Drosophila melanogaster: one gene and its partners. The protein of the gene in region 3 interacts with the protein of the main gene of each other region in a pairwise test. Each region holds a gene or a part of one and is shown on either strand. Other genes may lie near its edges.

Region 1 (6,877 bases), on a different chromosome or scaffold from region 3:
TGCAAAATCTTTTGCTGCATCGTCTACTATCATATCCCCTATGCGCCGAGGCCGCCGTGAGGCAAATGCTAAGTGGTCCGGAAACTTGTGAAATGATTGCGCGGATAGCTGAGGAGGTTGTTGTAGACAATGATCGGGAGAAGCTGAACTTGCTTCACAAGTGTTTTTTCCAAACTGACACGGGAGACATACTCATTAATGCTAAAACTGTGGATAAAATACTGCTGTCCATGTGCGGACCCTTGGAGCAACCGGTTGTCGATGACGCGGTGGAAGTGTGTGGCAGTTTTATTGCCCAGATAATGCCTGTGATTTGCAGCAACAATAACTCTTCGCTGCACGTGCGCCAACACATCTTCCTCAAACTGTTCAAATTTAGTTTGGAGCACCGACCAGAGGATTATCTGTCGGAGGATACTCTGTGGGAAATTACCACTTGCTGGCAGGATGGACTTTCTAGCAAAGATATCGAAATCGATGATGACATGCTAAAGTGTTGCGCAGGGATTGTTGAGGAATTGGCAAATTCAGCAGAACTTAAAGCGGATACTTTGGATGGAATGGCAGAGGCGATGGCCAAGTTTGTTATTTGCTCAACGGAAAATATTGAAGATGAGTATAAGCGCTTGGAGCGAATCGATGAAACATTAACTGCTCTTCTGGAAACGCCCCTAAAAACGACTGACAAGGTTCAACAGTTTGAGAACCATTGTGTACTCCTAGAAGCCTTGCACGGATCTGTGACTGCGGGAGTTCCGTTCGAAAATGCTTGCCTCTCAAGAAATGAAATACTACCATTGCTTCAACGTTCCACACTCAACTTTTCTACAATCTACAAGCTCGTCTATCAATTCCCACCACCTCAAGACACCAACGACCCAGAGGATGAGTTGACCGAGGACTATTGTGATCCAAATGCTGATGTGCTCAAAAAATGGAACGAACCCTTAATTGCAGAGCTTTTACAGTGCATTCGAGTGGCTGGAACAGCAGAATGCTGGCTGGAAATGTCAGTCTTGCAATCGTCGACAGAGGAGTTAGTGTTGATCCTTTCGGAGAAAGTGCAAAGCTTTATGGGCAACAGCAGCGATCTGGTTGCAATAGTAAAGGAGCGTCTTCAGCAAGCGGCTGTGCAGCAGTCCAGCGTAATTGACTGTCGTCTTTTAAGTTACCTTAGATTTTGCCCACAGTATGCGGCTTTCGAAGAGAGTGCCTCCATTTTGCTACATGAAGATCTGTCAGAAAATCTAGTGACGCAGGGAGCGCTCAAGACCTATGTAATAGCTCTACAGGTAGGAATTCTAAAAGAAATCCAGGAACACTTAATAATGCCTTGTGTCTTACAGTTTCTCTTACCGAAGCTTTCTCAAAAAGCGATCACTCTTAGTTCTGCGATTATGGGAACAGAACCGCCTGAAATTTGGGTTAAGGCAGCAGTGTTTCATGCTCTACTATTAAACAATTTTGAAGGCGATGTGAATGAGCAAACGGATCGCAATATAATTGTATCAGCCGTACAGTTTATGACCAGCATAGGGGAAAGGCAAGCCAGCCAGAAGGATTTACTCCATTATAATGTGTAAGACAATATAATTTTCATAAAATGTATATGATTCAAAACCCAAGTTTGTATTTTTCAGAGAAATTCAAAGGCAACCCTACGAATCAGTTATAAATACAGTGGAGTTCATAAAGCTTTTAACTGAAGTTTTAAAACGTTTTCCATACGAATTGAGTATAAAGAACTGGGACGCTATTCGCATTGGCCTTAGTTCTTGGGTGCTTTCTGTTTCAAAATCTATAGCACAATACCAAGACCCAAAGGTAGGCTTTATAAATAAATTTCTTTCATAATTAATAATAAATTATCTTTAATTGAAGACTTCGCTTTTTATTGTGGCTGTTTACGAATTGTTTGCCGCCCTTATTGATTTTATACGCTCCGAGAAGCAAAAGAGTTCCACGGAATTACTCAAAAACATGATCGACGAATGGGACTCTTTGTTTGCCAAGGAAGTCAATTTAGTGCTCTTTAAGTCATATTACCTATTGACCCACGAGGTTAGTGTGGATCCAGGATTTCAGGCATGCTATGAGGCCTTACTAGAACAAATAACACCGGTCATAGAGCGACTGGACTACAGCTTTGTGTACTCGGTAATCAAGTGAAATATTTTGTTGTTTTTCTATGGCTAATAACTTCAAAAACCTTTTTACACTTCAGTTCTGCAAGTCAAATAGTAACATCACCTTGGACCACCTCTGCAATTTCCTGTTCAAGCAGCTTTATAGTGTCCAGCACTCAGTTCGATTAAGTGCTGTACACTCGCTTCGCCAATTAACGCCACACTTTGTGGCGGACGACATAGAGCTGAATGAGAAACAAAGTGAGAGTCTAGACGCCAGCACAACGATTTGCAAGTGGCACTTCCTCAATCGCTTTGAGGACTATCTAACACGCTACGATGCACTGATAACTAAATACCTGGAAGAGTTCACGTTCAAGCTATCAGAGCTGGATGATCTCGAACCCATAGACAGACACAATGCACTGAGTTACCTTTTCTTATGGGATTGTATTATCAATGCTTGCGCTAAGTCTCCAGTTGCATTGCGCGCTGTTTACACCAATTGGCTGAATGATAACAAATACGAAGAGGTTGGAAACGATACATTAAATTTACTAATAATTTTAAATTTACACTTTCAATTTCTTTGCTCCACAGAATTTCCTTCACTTCCTTTTCCGCGCAATGCCCGTGGACATACTTAAGAACCACGGTGCCAAGGTCCACAGCAACGGCGTTTACAAAGAGCTGACCTGGTCTCAGCAGAAGGGTAAGCTGAACATTACTTAGATTATTGTTTCCTCCGATATATCCGTATTGAGAACGTCGGGCAAGTAGTCCTCCCCATATCCATAGTCGTCATATTCAGCGGCTCCGTGCTCGACATCGTTCATCATTTCCTCTGCATCCGCCTCATCGGATACAGAAATGAAATCTGACAAGGGCACAAACTGTTCGGGATCGTTCTCTGCCATCATCTGTCGTTTTACAGGTATTTGCTGAGGTGTCAAGTAAATGTTTAAGTTTGATATGAACTTGTTGACCCAAACGGTTAGGTTGTTGGCCAATATCCTCTGATACTCTTGCAAATTACTTGTCGTATAGAATTCTTGATCTTTTGATGATTTCAATTAGTTAATTTTTGAAGTGTCCCAGTTAGATTCAACTTACCTGTAAATTCTCGAAGTCTCTCAAGAATTACGCAACATAGAGGGGAGTTCTCGTCAACAATAAACTGATCGTTGAGTAGAAAGTCCTTCATTTCCTCGAACAGTACGCAAATTATCTTTTGCATCTGCTTGCGCTGGCGCAAAATGATTCGTTTTTTTAGACCCTTGCATCGTCGCTTTTGGACACGCTTCGCTGCCTTGCGCTGACGCATCTCCTCCTCCATGTATTCCAGCGCCTTCTCCATTGACATGGCTTCTACCGGAGGTTTGGGTTTCATCTGGTTCTCTAGAGCCGCTATATGACGAGGCGAGAGGTAGTCCTTAAAGAAATTGTATGTGTCACTCACTCGCATTGGGTGAGGATCGGCAAGTCGTTCAACCCGTGCTGTACATTGGTTAACGTAGATCTTTTTGGTGTAGTAGCGCGCCTGTTTGGCCAACTGGGGTGAGGAGAAGTCCTTCTTGGGTGTAGCTAGAAAACATATGTGTTCCTCGCGGGACAACACGTCCCGGTCGATGATTATTTGTCCCGTGTGTTGGCAGGGCACATAGCAAGGATGGTAGCGGGGACAGACACAGATGAACCTTCAGGCCAATGTATATATTGTATTGGTTTTAATCGAATCGTTTATTGTTTATAGTAAAAAAGGAAAGTTAAAAGTCTGATTTAATTTATGAAAAAACATTCCAAAAGCCAAAGCAATTCCGAAAATATGCATGTATTGGATATGGAAAAACTTGATACTTACTTACCTGTACAATGCTTGCGTCTCATTGGGGGAAAACTTAACTAAGCGGCGAATGCGTTTGGCACGAGTCTCGCGCACATGAACCATGGCCAGGCGAGCGTTTAACTCGTCCGCTACGGTTGGTCCATCCTGCTGAAACTCCTCAGGCTTGTGCTCCTTGCGCGTATCGCATTGCGTCTTCAGGAAGTTTATGGCTTCGGCCACCGAAGTCTCGCCCTCAAGTTGAATGCGCTTTGGCTGCGGCATCTCGGAGGGTATATCCTTGAAGTTTATTGGGTTTTCCATGCTTTCAAATAGAACGGAAATACAAAAAAAAAAAAATAAGAAGCGGATCAATACACAGAACGGTAGGAGACTAATGATTTAAAGTGAACTGTTTTCTATATAAACATAATTTGACTACTCGCAGCCTGGCTTGCCTTGTTACATTTCTTGATCCATTTTGCAGATCGACATCTACCCCTGGAGCGATATGCCTGCCACTTGTACACGGAGGTGCTCCGCAAGCTGCCTGCCGTGGTGCGCAGGTGGTGGAACGCCACTCAGTCCAGGCAGAAGAACTTCATAGACAACCTGACCACAAACTACGTGAGTTCTTTGATTTGCAGCGAGGAGCTCAAAGCGATCGCCAATCGCAAGGAGAAGCACGAGAATATGCAGGTAAGCGGATGTGTCCTTTCAAGTCTTTATTCTTGCTCTGGGGTGCTTAGCCGAAGGGAAAAAACCACGGTGATGCTAATCAGCAGTATGATAATGACAATAACGCGAAATATCTCAAGAGGCACCATATCTCTGCTAGAAGGGATATAAGTGTGCTTTCGCTATATATTTAAATTTCCGTTGAATAAAAAAACTTTGGATATTTTGTAAATCCCAAACAATCATAGTCTACTGAACTATGTGACTAAAGTTGACATTTCTCTATTCTAGGTTACCGTTCATTCCTCCACCCGCGAAGTGCTAGCGGTCTACGCCATCGATGAGGCACGCATGGAACTTGTAATAACGCTGGCTCCCAATTATCCACTGGGAGCTGTTAAGGTCGAGTGCGGCAAGCAGATCGGCGGACGTGCTTCCTCCCGAAATGTCGGCATGCAGTTGACCATCTTCCTGACACACCAGGTATATTGATATTGATACATTTCGTATGTTACTCGATGTCCGCTGAATAATAATATTAAAATTGTCTTATGCAGAATGGCACCATATATGACGGCCTAACTATGTGGAAAAACAACTTAGACAAAAAATTCGAGGGCGTTGAAGAGTGCTACGTGTGCTATACTGTTATCCACCAGGAGACTTGCCAGCTACCCAAACTAACGTGTAAAACGTGCAAGAAGAAATTCCACGGACCTTGTTTGGTAAGACTCCTCCAAGCTGCTTTTTTTTTCTCCGATCTAACGAAATGATTACATTTTTTTTAGTATAAATGGTTTACCACAAGCAGCAAGTCCACCTGTCCCATTTGCCGCAACGTCTTCTAGATGTGTGTATATATCATTAACAATTTTAGCAACACGTATTGAGCAAAAGGCACAACCAAACCATTCGATATAGGAAATAGTTTCAGGTCTCACAAATTGTAAATCAGCAATATTAATAAATCTTACAATGTTTTAATGTTCTTGAATATATATATAGTGCAGGGATTGAAATTATTTAATTGTAAAAACTAAATAGTGCATTAAAATTAAAGAAAAATTAAAAGTTTGAAACAAAGTATGTCGTGGAAGGGTAATCCATAGCAAATAACAAGTTTGTTTTACTAAAACAGTTCTCAAACGATATCAGTACTCACAACAACACTGTACAACACAATACAATTTTACAATATATTTAATGCTGTCAGTGGATAATCAAGAACTTTTTATATTATGGCTACAAGAATAAAAGTAATGGGTCAGTGCCCATATTGTAATCGTCATGTGGCCAAAGACTTAAGACCTATCAACATGCTGTCCGCACAGGATGCCAAAAGGATTTCTAAACTGGTAAACGAAGTGCAGCCACCACTTCATTTGGAATCCGAGGAGGAGACGCAAGATCAGGAGGAAAAAGTACAAGGTAATATAACCAAAAAAGAGCGAGTTTCGATGAGAAAGGGAAGGAACATTTCTGTAAGGAAGTTAATAGCCAAAAAAACTATAAAAGCTCCGCTCTCCCAGAGTAAATCGAAGATAGATACTAGGAACAGAAAATCAAGTTTTACGAAGAGGAAGAAAGAAATACTTGGGATGTATGAACCTAAAAAAATCGAATTAAAAAAACCAACGCGGATGTCAAACAGAAGGAGCCGAATTCAAGACGTTTTAGATTTCGAGGAGAAAATGGAAGAAGATTCTTGCCAACAGGAGCATTTAAACAATGATAAAAGTTCACCAGAAAACTTGGAAGAATGCTCGTACAACCCGAATGAATTGAATAAAAGTCATAGTTTACTGGAGGAATTGGTTATAGATAAAGATCCCTGCGCCCAGGAGGAGCTTAAAGATAGTTACAATTCACAGGATAAATTGGGAGAAAAGGATGTCCCGAAGGGATCTGCGAAGGAGGATAAATCAAAAAATGTTGACGCGATCACTGGATGTGTATTGGGGTTGGTAGAGAAGGAGTTTGGGCGTGATCCGGCCTGCAGTGAATCATCCGAGTCTTTGAAGGGAAATGCCGAGGTCATTGTGGCCATGCTGACCGAGGAGCAGGATATGATGCGGAAGATTAAAAAGCGGTCCTCGCAGTGTTCTTGGTGGGAGAACGAAGAGCCGCCTGCTAAAAAGCGCAAATATTAGTGCGAGACCAATATATTTATATTTTGTTGCCTTTTCAAAATTAACAGTCATACCGTTCGGCTGCCCACGTGCTGACCTTTTTACACCATCATCCACCACTC
Region 2 (6,960 bases), on a different chromosome or scaffold from region 3:
CTCGACATGTTCGTGCAGAATCGCTTGTGTTCCGACCTGTTCGGATGCCTGGTATTGACCATCGTCCTCATCGATATGCTCGTGGATCTCTTCGAATGTATGATAATGCCTACTTTCCGTACTCTCATCCGCATAATTGGGACTCACATTTTTTCTTCGAGCACCAGATGGCTTATATTTCAGTTTATTCCTCGTCATTTTATCGCCTTGCTTTTGATAGTTTTTCACACCGCGTTTCAAAGTCACATTGCGTTCGGTTTCCCGATTATAATGTTGCAGATCCAGCTTTTCCGATCTTCTTCCGGTATTGTGAGTAGATCCTTTTCCGTATTCAGGATAGCTCCACTCGGCACTTTCGACACTATTGGTTTTATTCACAGCATAGGAATTACTGTGTGCAGTACTTCCAATAATTATTAAGGTTATGAATAGGTATCCAGGAATCAAAGTTAACTGAAATAGAAAGGATGCGCGTAAATGAAGTATGTACATACAAAATATCTCCTATCAAAAAGACAAATTGGAAATATAGCTTACCATTGGGTTCATTTTTTGTTAAGTATATAGTCTCGCTTGGATTTGAAGTGGTTTAATCAACGCCTTCAACAGAAATGATTTGAGCCAATCGAAGAAAGTATTTATATGAGCACGAAACATAATTAAAATGTGCAGAAGCAAATTTCTTCGCTTGAAGTTTGTACACTCTATATTTTTCTTAAATTAAGAAATTATACAAAAACATCAAGAACTAATTTGTTTTGGTTTGATTATTTAAAATGTATGCATGTTTTTATTCATTTTTAATTAGATATACAAATGTGTAGCTTTGAAATGCCGTCAGAAATAAACGACCTTTTTAAAAGAGAATAAAACTGCACAAGTTTACTTATATTTTTTTTTACGATTGAAAGCCCACGGTCGCGTGACGCAAGTTGTGTGTGTGTTTGAAGAAGTGTACAAGTGCAATATCTTTATAAATGTTTGAAATTTCTCTAGGTGAATATTTCACAGAAGCCCGTAAATGTAATAATTAAAGTGCATTGAGCTCCGCTTTACGGAAATGCTATGGATTGTGTAATTTCCTGCAGTATCCGTTGCTGTTTTCAAGACTACCAAAACTACGTTTTCCGGATACCCATTTTGGAATGCAGAGAACAGGGTTAATTAACACATAACATTGGAGCTCCTCTCGAAAGGCAAATAAAAAGTTTATTATACAAATTTAAGTTGGATATATCGGGAGCTTGAATAAACAATGGTCAGCTTAATCTAATTCGATTCTATTCTCTAAGAATAGGCTGCTCGTGTGCATCTTTGATTCCTTAATTTTTAAGTGCGAGCCCAGCAAATCGTCCATGGTGATGCGGACGTTGTTGCGATCAAGCGCTGTAGCTGACGGATCTCTGGACGTGATGAGCTGCCTCATTCGGTAAACTGAAGCATTCCGGCACATTTCCCGCAGGTCTGAGCCCGAGAAGCCATTTGTGAGCTTGGACAAGCGATTCAAGTCGACATCCTGACTTACTTCCTCCGATTGGAGGATCAGCTTCAGGATGTCTTTTCGTTGGGTCTCCGAGGGCAGACCAATGTGGAATTGGGCTGGCATGCGGCGCACAATGGCCTTGTCTAAATCCTGCGGCCTGTTCGTGGCACCCATCACAATCACCGTCGAGTTGGCGTTCGTGCTGAGGCCATCCCACAGCATCATAAACTGGGTCTTCATCATGGCGGTAGCCTCGTGGTCGTTCATGTTTCGAGATCGCAAAAATGAGTCTATTTCGTCAATAAAAATAATGCATGGCTCGATTCGCGATGCAAGCGAGAAGACAGCAGAAGTCAATTTCTGGGATTCCCCGTACCACTTGTCGGTAAGAATGGCGACGTCCAAGTTGATAAAGCGCATTCCCGCCTCTTTTGCCGTCGCCTTCGCTATCAGCGTCTTTCCACAGCCCGGTGGTCCATGGAGCAGGACGCCTTTGGGCGCCTGCCACAGCTTCGAATGCTTGAAGAGATCCTTGTGCTGGATTGGCAGCACCACCGATTCCCGGAGCTCCTGAATGACTGAATCCAGACCGGCGATATCGGCCCAACTGACTGTTATGTCGGCGGGAACAACAAGATGTGACGCAATCATAAGCTCGTAGTCGCTAAACTCTTGCCCTCTTAGCTTGAAGCCCTCCTGCTCGGCTAGCCTGCATGGAAAAGGTTTACACATGTACAATATATGCTATATGAGTCTAATATAAACCTCTTAAGCTGCTCCTCAGCCAGAACTTTGGCCTTTTTCTTGTTTTTACTGGTCGGATCCATCTGGTTCATCATCCATTTCACCGAATAATATGTGATCAGCGAGGCCACAGACAGGCGAACCAGTACCTGGAATATCTGCCCCTTGCTTAGATCCGATCCGCCCAGTCCGAAGTTGTCCATGTTTCTGCAGATATTCTATTTAGAGCAAATACGTTGGCCTGCACGAATCTAATCTTTCTTGTTCTTATTCCCCATGCACACCGACGACAGTGTGACCAGGTGCTCCGACTGAAATTGACATCGATAAGCTCAAAATTGCTGCCAACTGAATTCAATTTTTGTTAGCCTATTCCTTTTCCACTGTTCCGAAAATATTTTTTCAGCTTAAAATAAAAAGATTTTTTTTTTTTTTAATTTTGAGTATTAACATATTGGGCATATATTAAGTGAGAGCATTGTGAAGCATGAAGATTAAAACCCACAAATTCAAGTGACAATTTTGCTCTTAGGGTGTATAGTGCCTGGGGTCAATACTCCAAATCTTCAACTTGGCGTCGATCCACGGACGAAGCTTGGCCACGCTGGCGTACACTCCGGGAATGTTCACCTCGCCGCATCCGATGCCCCAGGCAACAATGCCGGCGGACTTGAAGCGGTTCTTCTGGCCAGCAATTGGACACACCAGTGGGGAGCCACCATCACCCTTGCAGGTGTCCTTGTCCTTCTCACCGCCGGCGCAAATGAAGCTGTCGTGCAGAATGAAATGCCTGCCGAGTCGAGTTTCGCGCAGATTCGTCTCGCACTGCTGCTCGGGCACCACGGGCATGTCGACCTTCTTCAGGATAACCTGATATTCCCCATCCTTGCCGAACTTGTTCTTGCCCCAGCCGGTGGCATAGCAGCGATCGAAATCGAATTTATCACCCACATTGGGCAGGCAAACGGTCTGAATGTTCTCCTGGAGGGTGAATGGACTTTCCAACAGCATGACAGCCACATCGTTATAGAGCGATCCCTTGTTGAACTGCTCATGGTAGATTATTTCCTTGACATATCGGTCTTCGTGCCTTCTGATCTCAGTCTGCGTTTGCGTATCCCATTCGCCAGCTCTCACTAAATGCCAGTTCATAATTAGATCTCATAGATGGCATAGATGGCATGTACACTTACCAACAATGCTACTGGGCTGTTTGTTGTGAACGCAATGCGCCGCGGTCAGAACCACATTGGGAGCTATCAATGCTCCTCCACATTCGTACAGGTTAAGGTTGCCTTCTTCCCGGAGAATGGCCAGCATCCAGGGGAATTCGCCGAATTCGGCCTCCTGGTTGACAGCTCCAGTGATCTTAAAGCCAACGCCGTTGGGATTTTGGTAACCGCAGCCCTCGGGATGATCAGGCTTAAACTCGAAAATCGGATCTTTTCTCTTAACAAATAAAATTATAGTTTAATTTAAGTAATCAAAGCTTATTGGTATTTATGTATGTGTTACCTTGTTGGGCAGATCACAGCAAAGATCCAAATAGTTCTTGCATTCGGCGTCCGTACCAAGTCGAATGTCAATGATACCATCGCCACTGGTGTTAATCGTATCATTGGCGCACAACCAGCGAGGAACACACTCCTTTTGATCGCCACAGGACTGGTACTGCGTTGAACTCGATCCTCCGTTTTCGGATCCCGTGCTACCGGACGAATCCTTGGGGTTCACCACTGGCGGGGGAGGGGATGATGGTTTGGGTGTTTCGTCCGTTTTAAAGATGTCCGATATCAATTTGTCCAAGGAAGAGTCCTGGGCACCACAGGAAAATATGCACAGGCATATTACTAGGCAATTTAGTAATATCATATTCCTGGAAAGCAAAATTAAATCATGCTCTTTACATATTTACATAATTAAGGTCAGAAAGCTCACTTATTCGAGGAAAGAGATGAAGATGAAGGTAAGCAAAGTGAGTAAAGCTCGAGTATTGGTAATATAATAATGATTGTTATTGCTGGAATATCGCACTTAAACCGGATAAAAGGTGAATGTGATTCCCCCAAAACAGAGTGACACATTTTAATGGAAGGGAGACGCGGATACGAATACGTTTATGTTTATGCGGCGAACAATTAACCTAATTAACTCTAGAATGTATTGTCTTATCAGTGAGGCTTTGCTTTCTTTTTTGAATACTAAAATTCCGAGCAAATATATACATATGTACGTATTGTTTCTTTTAGATCGCCTCATTATCAATCCTGATTGCTTTTTTGTTTAAATATGACTTTTGGCGATAAGAAATGCTAATGTATTGCGGTGGGTCAATTTTCGCTGTCAATAAAAACAAAGCATGTATAATTACTTTAAAACACAAAAATAGTTTCTTATGTGTAAGCGCAATCCCTCCATTTTTCGCAAGAGTTAATAATAAGTTATAACACACTAATTAATTGCCATTTACACACAAAGGTTCACCATTTTTGCTAACAATATGTTCCTTGCAAATAAAATAGGGCAAAAACTGGTTTTAGTTTCGAGTAAACTTAGCATTATACAATTCTTCTTCATTAACATATATAAATGTATTCCCATTGCCGCTGATTTGTGCTCATAAAAGTACGTGAGGCGGTGATATTTTGTACACTTTATTCATTGAACTTTAAGATCTTTTTGATTGATTAAAATATGTATATACACATGTACATACATATATGGATGAAAAATGTATTGTAGATGTTACAAGACATAGAAACCACCAAAAAGATTAAACTCTATCAGATATCCACATAACTGAACTACACATTTTCAATAAATTGAATTTGAGTCCAATTTTATTTAGTATAAAGTGTACTCTATTAGTAAGACTTACTTAATTTATCAAAGTAGCGCAACGTTCGCTGAGCAATGAAGAAAACACTCAACTGAATTGATTTCTTATTCAATCTTAAGTCTCAGCCGATGATCTTCTGACGAGAAGCTTTGAAAGCTGGTTCCAATTGAAGTTCCCAGCTTACGTATTACACAGCGGAAAACCAGTTCAAAGTTTTATTTTATTTTATAAATTTATAGATAATAAACATACACAAATTATGTACGTATATTTGTTATTAAAAACCGTTTTAATGGTTTAGCGTGTTTGTAAAATGCGATTTCAAATATTTATTTATTTTTATTCTCGAGCCAAGGAACAACTGGAATTGAAGCCCGATAACGATAGCTGTGCGACAAAATCGAAAGCATCAGTGTGTCCGTGAGTTTCGCCTCTAGACCTGTGTGTGTGACATTTGATGCGCCTACACATACATATGATGAACAGGAATTCTTTTTAGTTCATCAAATGAATACAAAGTAAAGTAAATTGAAAGGAAGCGCCGATCGCAGTTGTTCAGTATTCAGAGAAACATGGAGCCGTTTACCCATAATGATGGCAATCGCGACGAACTAATAATTCAGCAGAAACGGGATATTGAAAAAGAGGTGAGTCTGCAGAAACACTTACACACAATAGCGACAATGAACCGAGAAATAATGCCGAATTTCAATAATTGCAGATCAGCGACACAACTCCCTTGGTCAGCGAGCAGTTGCCACTCACCTGCTTGTATGCGGAATACAGTGGCGACGAGATCTTCACCGCCAAGATCCAGGATCTGTCCAAAAAGTACAAGTTCATTCGCCGCACCCGCCCCGATGGCAATTGTTTCTTCCGAGCCTTCGCCTACTCCTACTTGGAGTACTTGATCTCAAACACCAGTGCCTACCAGGAGTTCAAAAAACTGGCCGAGGAGTCCAAGGAGAAGCTCGTTCAGCTGGGATTTCCTAGTTTTACATTGGAGGACTTTCACGAAACGGTATGTTTAGCCGTACAAATGCAAAACGAATTCCCTATGCTTATGCAGCCTTTTGTATGTCCAGTTCATGGAAGTCATCCAGCGCGTTAGCCCCGACAATGCAGGAGGACACAGCACGGTCCAAGATGAGTTGCACAAGATCTTCAATGAGCAGGGTTACTCAGACTACGTGGTGGTTTACCTACGTTTGATCACCTCGGGAAAACTGCAGGAGGAGGCCGATTTTTACCAAAATTTCATCGAAGGCGACCTCACCATTGAGGCGTTCCGCCATCTGGAAGTGGAGCCGATGTACAAGGAATCGGATCACATCCACATAATCGCTCTATGCACCGCCCTCGGCGCTGGAGTTCGTGTCGAGTACTTGGACCGTGGCGAAGGTGGGACTGTGAAGGCCCACGATTTCCCCGAGGGAAGCGAGCCCCGAATTTACCTGATATATCGACCAGGCCACTACGATATACTGTATCCAAATTGAATTGCTCTCAGTAGTTTCTAGATTACGAAACGATTTATGTATATAAGATGTATAATAAACTACCATTTATTTGCATATATGGTGAATATTTTCCTTCTCTTTTGGTTCTGCATAAGATTGAGATTGATTGATTAGCCCAGCAATGGAAACACAGATTTTACACATATCGTAGATGTTAATTTATTTAAACACTAATCTTTATTATTTGATTTGAACGATTGTGATAGTGACATAATGAAATTGTCTAATGTTTTATAAAATATTAAGTTTTATTAACGGTACTTCGCCATCATTTCATCCGGAAATTTCTGGCGATGCGCAGACAATGAGAGGTTGACAATAATCTCCCGGTCGTCCATCCGTCAGGCGCCTCCACAGTATGATTTAATTGTAGG
Region 3 (7,438 bases):
CGCCGACTTCTTAGACTCGATGTTTTGTAATATATAAACGTGTGTCTCTACCTTGGCACCATTTCTTCTTTTTTTTATCAATTCCTCTCGACGAACAGGTTGCAGTTTGCTTTTAAACAAATTCAAGTGTGTTTTACATTATATTTCATATGCATAGCGCCTTATATTATTTTTTTATATTTCGTAAAATTAAATAAGATAATAAGACCTGTTCCATATAGGAGGCTACCGAAATACATAGTTTTTTAGTGACAATTAAAATTGTTAAGAAAACCTAATGTTAACCTAAAGAGGATATTTACTTGTCTGTATAGGCATATAAACTAAAAGTTTACTTAAAATTTATAATTCCTATAGATACATTTCATGGTATTTAAATGTGCAAGCCGAACATCTAATATAAGAGCTTGAATAGTTTGTTTTTCAGATCAGTTAGACCGCACAGTATCCTCACAAATTTGGTTTGAAAGTTAAGATTAATTTGTAATCAAACAGAATAGCCTCTTCTGAGATTTATGCTAGTGACTATCGCACCTTTAACAATCCAAGCTTCTAATATTAACTGTTGTGACGAAAATAGAGTTTTTATTCAACTAAGACAATACAATATCTAAAAGTTACTCGTTCGGGACGCTTTATGACATTATTTATTTGAGGTGCATTTGCAGACAGACAAACAACCAAACAAATTCCCAGTCTTATTTTAAAAAGAGAGAATGCTATACTCAGCTGGAAGTGTGACCGATATATTTCAATACTTTTTTGAATATCGGTAAAAATTTGGAAACAAATAATAATATGAAAAAAATTATTGAATTGTTCAAAACGTGTGGGCGTGGCAGTTTTAGGCCGTTTGTGGGCCTCTGGAATCTTCATATCTAATCTTAACTCTCTAGTTTTTGAAGTCGAGGCGTTCATACGGACATACTCTGCTATTGATCGCTTTTAAAAATATATATACTTTATATGGTGTGAAACGCCTCCTTCTACCTGTTACATAATTTTCCTAGTATTCCATTTTACTTTCGAGTAACGGGTATTATCATTTCAGTTTATCTTCGTATGTTTTTATCTCATTATCTTCTTAGATTATTTTACGGTTCAATCTCTTTACTTTTTATGCTGCCTTTCTATTGGTTATCACACAATATAATAAGACAACTACAGCAGATAGAAGTTGTCTTTGTACTCTCTGGTGCGCTTCGTCACTACGTGGAATGCCGTTCATGGTGATTCTTCTCTCTTTTTGAAACCATTTACTTATGTCGGGTAAAAAACTTTATTGAATAATATATAACATGTCGATGGAAAGTCGGTGGATGGGTCTGAGATCGGGGTGAAGAGTCTTGGTGATGGTGCGGATGCTCGGGTACCGGTCAGTGGAACGCCTTCGGGATTGGTGCAGGAGTCGGAATCAAGGCTGATCGAAGCCTGGTATCCGTTCTCACCAGCGTCGTACGTGACCTCGACGTGATCGCCCTCGGGGGTGATCCATTTTATAGTGCCCTGAAAAATACCATCGATATCTGCTTTGGCGGCCCGCTCGATTCCGTTGAATATGTGCAGACTGCTGGAATCGAATCCATCGGTATAAACATCGTATGATTGGTAGTGGACATCGGCGTTGTCACTTTCGAAACGTCCTACGGATGGGGGATGGGGGATGAGCCACTCAATCCAAAAACTGCACAGATCACCACGTGAACGAGAGCATAGACATTGAATACGTTCGTATCCTGCCGTTACTCACGAGCATGAACATTTTAGATTCCAATTTCTGTTTGCTCGAGAACGAACGTTGACTGATAACCACCAAAACTGAACCCAAGTCAATACGCTACATCTTTCATACGATTGGTGCTCTGAAATCTGGGTTGACTATGAAGATACCCCACACCCATTAAAAAGCATCGCATGGCAATCCACGGGATTAGTACTACGAGTATATACTAGGGTAATCGGCTCGTGTGGCATTGACCATTGCTTTTCTATTTCAATAAGTTTGTCCATTGGTATTGGCTTCTCTAATTGGCTTTTAAATACTACTTAAAATAAAAAAAAAATGCATTGAGACTTTTAGTGAGAATAAAATTGTATGCAAACATTTGCTTTTTTGTTTTTCAGATCTTTTAGACTGCCCAGATCCTTCTCAAATTTTAAAAGACAAAATTAATTTTTAATTCAGCACATCTTTTCTTTATGGACACATATACTCATTTTTGATAAATGGATTTAGTGAATCGAATATAAAAGGTAGAAGGAAGCATTCCCAGCGAAGGTAGAGGTATAAAAGCTCGTATTATTACAGGAACTACCTAAAAAGTGCAATGAAGAACACACACATTTTTACTGCTATAAGCAAGTGCATGTATTTTTTTGAAAGTCAAGAAGTACAGCTAAACAACTTGGGCGATTTGTTTCGGGAGAACAGTCCGTGGAGTGGTCCGGGATCCGGGTGACGAGTCCTAGTGATGACGGGGGTGCTCGGGTGCTGGGGGGTGAGACTCCAGCCAGGCAACGGCGCGGGCGATGGCCTCTGGGATTGGAGGAGGAGTGGGGATCCAGGCTCCCGAGGGCTGGTATCCGTTTTCATTCGCGACGTACTTTACCTCAACGTGCTCGCCCTCGGGTGAGATCCAGCCGAAGTTGCCGTGGATGTTGCCATGGGCATCACCGCTGGCGGCCTGCTCGATTCCGTTTGAGGTGTGCAGGCTGGAGTCGAATCCGTCGGCACGAACGTCGTCCGATCGGGAAAGGACATCAGCGTGTACATCATCGGAGCGGGAAACTGGGGCTAGGGCGGTAGCCACTCCCACAACGGCGAGAATCATCACCTGGATAGAGGAAATGATACCAATTAGATGGCGAGTTCATAAATGTCCTGTGAGCCACTCACAAACTTGAACATGTTGGCTGATTTCTGTCTGGTCGAGAACGAACGTTGACTGATAACTGACTTTGGTCGACAGAGTCTTTTTATATGATTCCCAATTTGGTTGCTTTCCAAACGAATTGCTTATTACTTTTTGGGCCAAATCTAAGTTATCACGAAACGCCCATGATGCCAACAAAAGGCAGGGCCCATAAATTCTCCACTTGACTCTGCGATACAAATGTCAAAAAACAAGTCTTGCGCTGCTGAACAGATTCCGAAATGAAACATGCTTCGGTAGAAATTTTGTAGGGGCGATGGAGTACGGTTTTCGGATTCTGTGCTCATCGATGACGTTTCGAGTTGACCAAGTCTTTATCAATCATGCCTGTACAAAATCAAAAAACCCAATACACTTCACTTGATAGCAGTCCCATCTATTTTAAAAGGTTCCGAAGTGGTAATAAACAATATACCGGAATAAACGATTTCGCAAGTGATACTGCATATTAACGTGCTAGTTGCCTATGACATTTTGTTGTATCTCAATATTTTGGATGTCACTGTTTAATTTAAAAAAACCCGCAAAGCTTTTGGCCAGAGTTGTCAACGTGCCACACACCAAATGAAACACCGAAAACTATGCTATGCTTAAGTTTAGTTCATATTGAAGTTGAATTTTAGAAAATTAAATATTGTACTGCTTAATAATTATTCTGGTTTCTGGTCCGGTTTGCTTTGCATTTCGGTTAGACTAGGGCGAATATTTCAGTTGAATAAATAACTAAGAATGCTCATCTCCTAATGAAAGTGGTTAAGCCATCTCAAGTCGACTAATTTGCATCCCAGACGGTTTTTATTATATGCATCACATTGACTTAATTATAATACGCACATTGCATCAGCTTTTGATGATATATAAACACCGATTTGAGCATAGATTGTCATCAGTCTTAGAAGATTTCTAGTCCGACAATCCACCCAAATCAAAATGTTCAAGATCGTAAGTATGCCTTGAGGAGCATAGTGACTTCGCAGTCTAATCCTGGATTATCCTAGCTGCTTGTCTGTTCTCTCGCCGCCCTGGTGGCCGCCAACGCTAATGTGGAGGTCAAGGAGCTGGTCAACGATGTCCAGCCCGATGGCTTTGTCAGCAAGTTGGTCCTCGACGACGGATCTGCCTCCTCCGCCACCGGAGACATCCACGGCAACATCGACGGAGTCTTCGAGTGGATCTCCCCCGAGGGTGTCCATGTGCGAGTGAGCTACAAGGCTGACGAGAACGGATACCAGCCCCAGAGTGACCTGCTGCCCACTCCTCCTCCGATCCCAGCTGCCATCCTGAAGGCTATCGCCTACATCGAGGCTAACCCCAGCAAGAACTAAGTGAACCCGCCGACTAGGAACATGAAAGATTGGAGACAGCTAGGTTGAGTTTGGATAATTTCTTACCAGTTGTTTTAAATTTAAGGAAAATGTTATCGAATTCGAAAATAAATTAAACCTTGCAATATAAACCAAGTGCATGTTTTACAAATCTGACAGTTCGATTTAAGAGAAGGCTCCCGGTATTATATGGTATAAGAAGGTACAATTAGAAGATTAAAAGTAATCAAAGACACTTTGGCCTTCATTAAATTACAATTGTGTTGTTATAGTATAGTACGAAATTAATTTAAATACAAAAATCTTTAAAGCATCTAAAATAAATGTAAACATTACAAAAATCTTACCTGGACAAGCCGATATCTCCTTGCATTAATTTCATATTTCCGAAAACTGGGTTATAACTAGTTATTATTTTAAGTTAAGTTCATAGGCAGCCACAAGTAATTAAATGTTGCCAACCTGATGCATCCCAGATAAGATCGCAGTATGATGAAAACGACGAGGAACTTTTTTATATCTATTATTTGTAGAGGATAAGGGTACACTTGAATTGTTAGAACGCATGTCGGTATTATGGGTATTAAGGGTATTATGAAGCGTTTTCGAACCTAAAAAGTATGTATATTCATCATCATTATCACTAGCCGAGTCGAATTTTTGTTTTTATATTGGTCTTTTTATGAATATAACTGAAATTGGCATTATAAGCCTAGATGTAAAAATCAAATTCTTCATCTTTTTTTTAACCTTTTTTAAATAGTCATACACGTAACAAAAAATAACACAGACTTCCCTGAGGTTACACGGTTATAAGATCTTGTAGTGATTTTTGGAGAAATATCAATCAAATTGCTGTGCTTTCGGATTTTTGATTATATTATGATATTGTAACTTAAGTGTTTAATAGTGATTGTATAAGTAAGAATCGTATACATTGTATATGTCAAACTCCACGGGAATGTTCATATTGACTTAACGGAAACTAGAGATAAAATATACACACAATGTTTTTTTTTATTAAACGAAATTATTTACAATAATTTAATTGACTAGCAATAGTACGCTCTTCTTAGGCAACCCAATCTTATCGGTATCAATTTAAACTATTCTTAATATCTATGTTATTTACAAAGGTTATATGAGTAAGAGTTTTTGAGGAATAGAATGTTTATGCAGATTTTAATTTAGTAGGATTTATGTCAAGTCCCGGTCAGTCAAGTCTTGAGGGTGGTGAACACAGAATGTTAGATTCCATAAACCCGTTCCCAGTCATTTCGCAGATAGAAACCAAATGATGCTCCGAAAGGTATGCTGGATCTACAAGCGGTTCGCAAAAAAGTTTTGTTTTCTAGTTATTTTTCACCTCCTAATAATTAAACTTCTACTATCAGCAGCTTAGACATTATTCAATCAAGTTATTTTTATATGATTTGTCTGGAGTAATTCAAAGTTATCTGACTAAATATTCCGGAAGATGTTAAATTATTTCAATGAGAAGGTGGACTTACCCTTTTCCGAGTAACCCGATTCTTTTTAGAATAATTACGGTAGCGATTTGCATAGACAATAGAAATCAAAAAGAGTGCAGCAGACGATTTTTATCGCCACCAAGCATGTCACTTGAACCAGTCCGTAAAACCAAACGAGACCTATGCTGGCCGAAATGTTAATTAAAAACGGGTTGCATCAGCTTTTGATCAGCTTTAAGATTTCGTGGGGAGTGCGTATAAGCGTATAAAAGCCGACGAGTGATCCCGAATTGGCATCAGTCTCACGAGTTCTTTAGTCTGACAATCTAACCAAGTCAAAATGTTCAAGATCGTAAGTATCTGAAGTTTAAAGCCGGACAGTTCAATGAGTAATCCCGGAATATCCTAGCTGCTTGTCTGCGCCCTTGTCGCCCTGGTGGCCGCCAACGAGAATCCCGAGGTCAAGGAGCTGGTCAACGATGTCCAAGCCGATGGCTTCGTAAGCAAGTTGGTCCTGGACAACGGTTCCGCTGCTTCTGCTACCGGAGATGTCCACGGAAACATCGACGGAGTTTTCGAGTGGGTCTCCCCCGAGGGCGAACACGTCCGTGTGAGCTACAAGGCCGACGAGAACGGATACCAGCCCCAGAGCGACCTCCTGCCCACTCCTCCTCCAATCCCAGAGGCCATCCTGAAGGCCATCGCCTACATCCAGGCCCATCCCAGCAAGGAATAAGCAATCGACACGACCAGGACCCACATTCGAATCGGAGGTGCAACTCCAAAGACCTTGCCCTCTAACCCTTAGAATTTAAACAGCATGCAGACATTATAAATGATTATCGAGTTAGGAAATAAATTCGATACTCTTTGGCAACAAATCTATTTAGATATGGTCTTAATTTCCCTGACGGCAGCAGGAGTTACCTTGTTTATGGCTGATTTATTTTGGCCGAGGGAACAAACGCTGCTTCAGATTATCACGAACTGTCTGGATGTTACGTGATTGATCTTAGCCAATAGTAACCTGTTTAATTAGCGATACATAAAGTGAAGACCATCAAACCAGATTTAGGTATAAATTCGGTCTGTTTATTACAGTTTTAAATGCAATAAAATATTTCATTAAACAAAAGTCATGGCTGAGCAAAATATAACCGGATTGGAATTGCTTGCGTTTACTCTTCATCTTCATATTGTTAAAAGAACAGTAAAGAACGGTATAGTGAAATTTTCGAATACTTATTATTATTATTACTCGGTTTAAATGTTGGTGGTACACCGATAGAAATTTGTAAGAAAAAAGTTAAAATAACCATTTTTTTGAAAGAATTTCGGTGCCAAAATGAGACGGTTTGAGAGCGTTACACTGGAAAAAAAACCCTGATGCAAACATGGCTTTAACGATCGACTACCTGTTATACAATACCCTTCACATTGTCAATCATCTAGTATAAACTTCAAATCTAGGAGTAGAGAGTTGGCAAAAACATCCTTGAAGATGTTAATGGACTAGCTGTTATCATGATTATATCGGGTATTCAATAGTCGAGACTTTATAGCTCTCTCTTGTTTAATTTTTTTATAATTTTTTCTCATGTAAAAGTTGTTAGGCCACGCTTTTACAGCGTTATTAATAAAACAATTTTGAATGACACTTTCTATTTCATCCATGGTTTTCAGACACTTGATGATTAGTTAACTAATC

The links. The genes of interacting proteins can lie anywhere in the genome.
Region 1: the proteins of Lcp2 (region 3) and Rcd7 interact in a two-hybrid assay, tested with the Drosophila melanogaster proteins (one large-scale study listed by BioGRID).
Region 2: the proteins of Lcp2 (region 3) and CG5390 interact in a two-hybrid assay, tested with the Drosophila melanogaster proteins (one large-scale study listed by BioGRID).

Annotation. Positions count from the first base shown.
Region 1 is NT_037436.4:19,543,079-19,549,955, reverse strand, and holds Rcd7 (reduction in Cnn dots 7), read right to left. Parts: upstream 4,847-6,877; 5' UTR 4,776-4,846; coding exon of another isoform or gene 4,674-4,775; 5' UTR 4,648-4,673; coding exon of another isoform or gene 4,436-4,647; 5' UTR 4,407-4,435; intron 4,353-4,406; exon of another isoform or gene 4,274-4,352; 5' UTR 4,273-4,273; coding exon 3,992-4,272; intron 3,824-3,991; coding exon 3,240-3,823; intron 3,184-3,239; coding exon 2,855-3,183; 3' UTR 2,839-2,854; coding exon of another isoform or gene 2,727-2,838; 3' UTR 2,663-2,726; downstream 1-2,662. Other genes in the region: CG46435 (uncharacterized protein), read right to left, coding at 4,674-4,775; Ltn1 (listerin E3 ubiquitin protein ligase 1), read left to right, coding at 1-1,292, 1,347-1,579, 1,641-1,824, 1,882-2,157, 2,225-2,659, 2,727-2,838, 4,436-4,647, 4,918-5,109 and 2 more; CG46434 (uncharacterized protein), read left to right, coding at 5,886-6,776.
Region 2 is NT_033779.5:10,301,407-10,308,366, forward strand, and holds CG5390 (uncharacterized protein), read right to left. Parts: upstream 5,189-6,960; 5' UTR 5,106-5,188; intron 4,104-5,105; 5' UTR 4,100-4,103; coding exon 3,743-4,099; intron 3,677-3,742; coding exon 3,421-3,676; intron 3,364-3,420; coding exon 2,756-3,363; 3' UTR 2,663-2,755; downstream 1-2,662. Other genes in the region: CG13138 (uncharacterized protein), read right to left, coding at 1-453, 538-549; nmd (no mitochondrial derivative), read right to left, coding at 1,265-2,192, 2,249-2,430; CG4968 (uncharacterized protein), read left to right, coding at 5,639-5,713, 5,788-6,087, 6,152-6,565; Cdk5alpha (Cdk5 activator-like protein), read right to left, coding at 6,928-6,960.
Region 3 is NT_033778.4:8,431,626-8,439,063, forward strand, and holds Lcp2 (larval cuticle protein 2), read right to left. Parts: upstream 3,161-7,438; 5' UTR 2,909-3,160; coding exon 2,897-2,908; intron 2,835-2,896; coding exon 2,466-2,834; 3' UTR 2,172-2,465; downstream 1-2,171. Other genes in the region: Lcp3 (larval cuticle protein 3), read left to right, coding at 3,864-3,875, 3,932-4,258; Lcp4 (larval cuticle protein 4), read left to right, coding at 6,071-6,082, 6,140-6,466. UniProt on the Drosophila melanogaster protein: Component of the larval cuticle.